2 linked regions of the Kluyveromyces lactis genome follow. The protein of the gene in region 1 purifies or fractionates together with the protein of each later gene. This does not show direct contact. Links are inferred from orthologs where the notes say so. Each region holds a gene or a part of one and is shown in the gene's direction. Other genes may lie near its edges.

What was found. Proteins that work in one complex are often made in the same cells at the same time.
Region 2: the proteins of RPB3 (region 1) and DST1 purify together in Saccharomyces cerevisiae (affinity purification with mass spectrometry, with the first as the bait; 4 studies listed by BioGRID). This does not show direct contact. The link is inferred for Kluyveromyces lactis from reciprocal best matches to the Saccharomyces cerevisiae genes RPB3 and DST1.

The regions. Positions count from the first base shown.
Region 1 is NC_006040.1:1,362,245-1,365,038, reverse strand, and holds RPB3 (DNA-directed RNA polymerase II core subunit RPB3), read left to right. Parts: upstream 1-1,306; coding exon 1,307-2,230; downstream 2,231-2,794. Other genes in the region: protein translocase subunit TIM44, read left to right, coding at 1-50; KLLA0_D16192g (uncharacterized protein), read right to left, coding at 458-823; 1-(5-phosphoribosyl)-5- ((5-phosphoribosylamino)methylideneamino)imidazole-4-carboxamide isomerase HIS6, read right to left, coding at 2,478-2,794. UniProt on the Saccharomyces cerevisiae protein: DNA-dependent RNA polymerase catalyzes the transcription of DNA into RNA using the four ribonucleoside triphosphates as substrates. Component of RNA polymerase II which synthesizes mRNA precursors and many functional non-coding RNAs.
Region 2 is NC_006042.1:863,846-866,636, reverse strand, and holds DST1 (transcription elongation factor DST1), read left to right. Parts: upstream 1-1,333; coding exon 1,334-2,212; downstream 2,213-2,791. Other genes in the region: RNA15 (Rna15p), read right to left, coding at 151-927; DPC13 (Dpc13p), read left to right, coding at 2,717-2,791. UniProt on the Saccharomyces cerevisiae protein: Necessary for efficient RNA polymerase II transcription elongation past template-encoded arresting sites.

The DNA.
Region 1 (2,794 bases):
GTTGGAAGATCCTCGAATTTGTCCGTGGTGGTTCCAGACAATTCACTTAATGACCATGACTCCGAAATTTTTACTCAGTACAAAAATAACAAATAATAATGATACAAAGCCAATACCTTCCCAACCTTCACTTACTATCGCTCTGGAATAGATTCATGAGTTCGTTATTTGGAAAAAACGGTGGCGGAACACAGCTTTCACTACCTAATCCTGTTCTATATTGCATGCCTGGTAATGTTATTCTTGGATTACTGCGAACTATCAGAGCGTATGAAAGAAATAAAGTGTTGGTTTTGGTCGTAATGTACATTAAATCATCATCATACTAAGTTAGTTTATATTTTACTATATAGATTATCGTCGTTTCTGTTTGACGAAGAAGGAACAGAACGACGACAAGAGAATTCGTGTTAATAGTATCCTAATCCTTCTATAATCCCTAGGAGAAGAAGTTCAGTTATATGTTTCTTGGTGGCCTGTATATCGCATTCTTACCAAATAAGTTCCTAATTATACTTCTGCCAATATTACGTCCTGCTTGTCTGCAATATTGTAACCATGGCTTGGCAACGATATAAAATAACGAGAGAAAGACACCCTGCAAAAATGGACTTATCAAAATATCTCTAGCAACAACTTTTGCAACGATATATGGTGTAATGGGAGGATCTACGACAGATCCATCAGCCACCGATAGAGTTAATTTATTCTGTTTCAAAGCTTCTTTCCTCAAGGACTGCTTAAAGGTCTGTTCAAATCGCAAATCTGGCAATGACGCCTTTACTGAAACTTTCTCATCCACACGGGCAATTCCTTTAGGCATGGTAAAAGGCTGATTATCTGTGGATAACTCACCTTATTTTAAATTCGGTGATGTGTAATTGTACTTGATATTTCGCCTATTGCGTGGGATCAGCTTTCTAATATGTTCAAAAACCGATTTGAAGGTCCTACAAAGAAGAAATAATGCTAATAAGAAAGAAATGGGGCCACTATTGTTCGAAGAAGTTAACTATAGGTAATAAAGGCTATATATACATGACTCCGAGCAATATTATTCTTAGCTGAGCCTATTTGAAACAGTATTGATGGAATAGTCCTATGCACGTGACCAAACGCTGCCAAAGCTCAAAAATTTTCCAACTGAACAAAAGTGAAAAATTCATAAAACAATAATCGAATGCACCAAGGGAACGAGAACAAATCATTTCGTTGCTGTAGTTTGGTCAATACTCTGGTATTTGATTGAGCAAGGAGCAGGTCATATCTTAGGGAGAAATCAGAGTTTAATACTGCGAAAGAACAAATGAGCGAAGAAGGTCCCCAAGTAAAAATTAGAGAAGCAACCAAGGACAACGTTGACTTTATACTTTCTAATGTCGACTTGGCTTTAGCAAACTCGTTACGTAGAGTCATGATATCTGAGATTCCTACACTAGCCATCGATTCTGTTGAGATTGAAACTAATACTACTGTGTTGGCAGATGAATTTATTGCGCATAGACTTGGGTTAATTCCATTACAAAGTGCAGACATTGATCAAGTTGTATACTGTCGTGACTGTTACTGTGAAGATCACTGTGACCGTTGTTCAGTAGAGCTAATACTACATGCTATCGGTGAGAGTGAATCCACGACGAACGTTTATGCTAAGGATTTGCAGATTACCAGCGATTTGAAGGGTAGAAATATTGGCCATCCAATTATACAAGACAGAGAAGCAAATGGTGTATTAATCTGTAAACTAAGAAAGGGACAAGAGATAAGAGTGAAATGTATCGCTAAGAAGGGTATTTCAAAAGAACATGCGAAATGGTCACCATCAGCAGCTATAGAGTTTGAATATGATCCATGGAATAAGTTAAAACACACAGATTACTGGTACGAACAGGATGCAAGGGACGAATGGCCTCAATCTAAGAATTGTGAATTTGAAGATCCTCCTAACGAAGACGAGGATTTCGACTACAGGGCCAAACCTAATACATTTTACATAAACGTCGAGTCTGTTGGTTCCATCACTTCGGAACAAGTCGTCGTACGTGGTATCAAAACTTTACAGGATAAAGTAGCCGACATATTATTCTCATTAAAGAAGATGGACCAAGAGAAAGTTAATTTCGCAGCAGGAGCTGTATCTACGCACGTATCACAACAAGTGCCGATGGAAGAAGATATGGATCCTTATGGAGGGCCAGTAGGAGGCTCAGGATACGATGATGCATGGTGAGACAAGACAACAAGAAAAAGCTACCACAATTATCGTGAAAGGCAACGATTTTTCTATAATTCATTGACGAAACACAAGGCATATATTCCTTAATACTAGCATACTCAAAGGCACTAGCAGCATCTGCTACCATCCAATCTACCACGTCCGTTCAAAAGTTGAACGGTCAAAAATGTTTCAATATCTCTATCTCTATATAGAATGTTTATTTCCATCGAAAGTGTAACTATTAGACAAAGACTGGAAGCTAAGCGTGTTTCTCATGGTTCCATTGGACACAGTCCTCGAACTTTACAAGGGATCCACCAAAAATATCAAGAGCACTACCAAAGGTCAAATCAATTTTGCCATGACTCAATTTCTCTACTAGCCTTAAATCATCCACACTCTTAGCGCCGCCTGCGTATACGATTTTCACTTTTGGAATATCCGCAGTCCATTTGTACAAATGAGCCACTAGCTCTTCATCAATCCCATTACATAGACCCTCTACATCTGCTGCATGAACCAAGAATTCATCGGTATATTGACAAAGATCAGCGAAAGTTCTTTCGTTTAGCTCCA
Region 2 (2,791 bases), on another chromosome or scaffold:
TTGAAGGTATATTTTAGAGACTGAACTTTACTTCATCCGAAAGTGCGTATTCAATTTGTACATTCTACACCGTTTCATCTATAAGCATTAATGAACTTTATAGTTGACGCATGTTCATTATTTTTGATTTTCCATCCATGAGACGATCTATTAAAGATGACCGAATTCACCTTTCATTGCCCTCTGTTTGAGTTCCCAAACTGCCATCTTTTCGTCTTGCGGAAGCATTGCTATATCTGAATCCTGTAGCTGTAGAACTTGCCTTAGAAGATCCACTTTCTCTTCGTCTAATCCGTCTTCCACTGTGTTATCAGTCTGTTCCTCTGGCCTTTGTTTACTCGCCATAGCCAATTGTGTCAATTGGTCCACACTGCACACACCGTTACTCAACAGGAGTTCCGCAATAGCATAGCTCAATTGAGGTGCCTCTTCTAGGAGTGCTACGAAAGTTTCCTTGTCGTCTTTACAGAAATGTTGGATTACTTTTAGTAGAGCCATCTGTTGGTCCTTTTGTAGCTTCCCCAATTCACTACTGATACACATTGCTGGTGTAGTCATATTGATGTTAACGTCCACCCCTACCGGGAGCCATGGGAACTTCACATCCTCAACCATGTTTCCATTCTCCTCTTCATCTCCGGGGCCAGATCCGCTGCCGTTTATGCCACTACCGGTGGTGTATCCGCACTTTAACGATCTTGAACCCAATGTATACCCGTTCAAGTTTCTAACTGCACTTGCCGAAGTTGCCAAATCTTTGAATTCAATAAAAGCATAACCCTTAGATTTACCCGTCGTTGGGTCAAACATCATCTTCATTGCCGTTACTGGTCCTATCGTCTGACATAGGTCTAATATTTGTTGTTCTGTTTGGTCATACGGTATCGAACCTAAATAAACTGTGCGCGATGGATTTCCCCTGTTCATTGCTTTTTAACTATTTCTATGATTGAAATTGGTTGCACCAGGTTATTTTCACAGCTAGCTGTCTGGTGGAAGTCTGTCTTACAAGTCCTTCGATGCTCTTAGCGGTACTTTATAAGTGTAATAAAACTCAGATATGGCTTTATTGTTCGATTCTTCAACTTTCGTCATCAACTTCAATTCTAATTTTTTTTTCAATGTTCGAATGAAATGAAATTAGAATTGAAAACTAATTAATGACTTCAAACAATCAACACTGTCCATTGTCCAAATGGTGGATTTCAGCAGGTCCTAACTCATTAGAATCTGTTGAGAGCAATATTTGCTGTGTATTATTAACATTCATTCTTCATCTTCGAAAGAAATTGATCCTGGAATATAGATAGAAACTGAGATATCTTCTGCGGATATGGAAACCAAGGACGTTTTAGAAGCCGTCAAAGGATTAGAGAAGAACAAAAATAATAATGATGTTGTGTTCAAGATTCTACAGTCATTAGATAAAGATTTGAAAGATGTTAATGAGAAGCTTCTTAGAGAGACGAAAGTAGGGGTCGTAGTCAACCAATTTAAGAAATCTTCCAATCCAGACATCGTCAAATTGGTGAAGAAGATGATTTTATCCTGGAAAGATGCTGTGGCTCGTGAAAAGAAAAGCAAACTAAGCAGCAATTCCTCATCTACAAGTAACAATAATGGTACAAGCGGTGGAGAAGCAGTAAAGAAGGAGAAATATGTCAGCAAAGCTCCAAGAAATGCTAAGAACGACGGTGTGAAAACGGATATATATGGTGTCAAGATTAGAGATATGGCTATTAGGGCATTATATGATGCATTGGCAAAAGAAAGTGAACATCCTCCAGTAGCTATCCTAGATACAGTAATGAGTATTGAGACAGAAATGGCTAATCTGTTCAATCCCGAGTCTGACGAAAAGGGATATCGTGACAAATACAGAATAATTTACTCAAATATAATCTCCAAGAACAATCCAGATTTGAAACATAGAATTACGAATGGAGAAGTATCAGCCAAACATTTAGTGACTGCTGATCCTAAGGACTTGGCACCGGAACATTTAAAGAAGAAAATTGAGGAAATTGAGAAACAGAATTTGTTTAATGCACAAGGTGCAACTGTAGAAAGATCAGTAACAGATAGATTCCAATGTGGCAAATGTAAACAAAGAAAAGTATCATACTACCAACTACAAACAAGATCTGCGGATGAACCTCTTACTACTTTTTGTACATGTGAGAATTGCGGTAATAGATGGAAGTTCTCGTAGTTGAAATTCTCACTTTGAATTTTACGAAGATAGCCTTGGCATATGATACACTAAAGCAGCATGATGATGGCAGTGATCAAGCACTAAAACTCTTTCGTTATTTCATTGCTAGCTAGATGTGTACACATAGCATCCGCCAATTCTACATCATACATTCTTCCGGCTAACTAGTATTTCATGTATAAATGACCAAAGTTGTAATATCACAATTAAGAATCGTATCTATGGTAAATACTCTACAGATGGTGTTGAATTCATTGTAGTTCGATTTGTTTATATATTGCAAGCTCAAATGAAAATAGTCGGTGCTCACCTTCAATTATTACCTTCAGACTCCTGTTCGATAACAGTCCATCATGTTAAGGTCTGAAATTTTATCAACTTCAAAAAAATGTGAAAGCGCAATTATCTTTCCGCTTGCATACTAAATTAAGAAAATATAGAATATCCGAGACCTAACCGGTCCTGTTGCTGTGGAACTTCAATAATCCTCATATAGAAAACATGTTATCGCGTTCTGTATTCCGTTCTGGGCTAAGAGCTGCCACATTTGGAGCAGTTACTGCTCAAAGAAGTTGT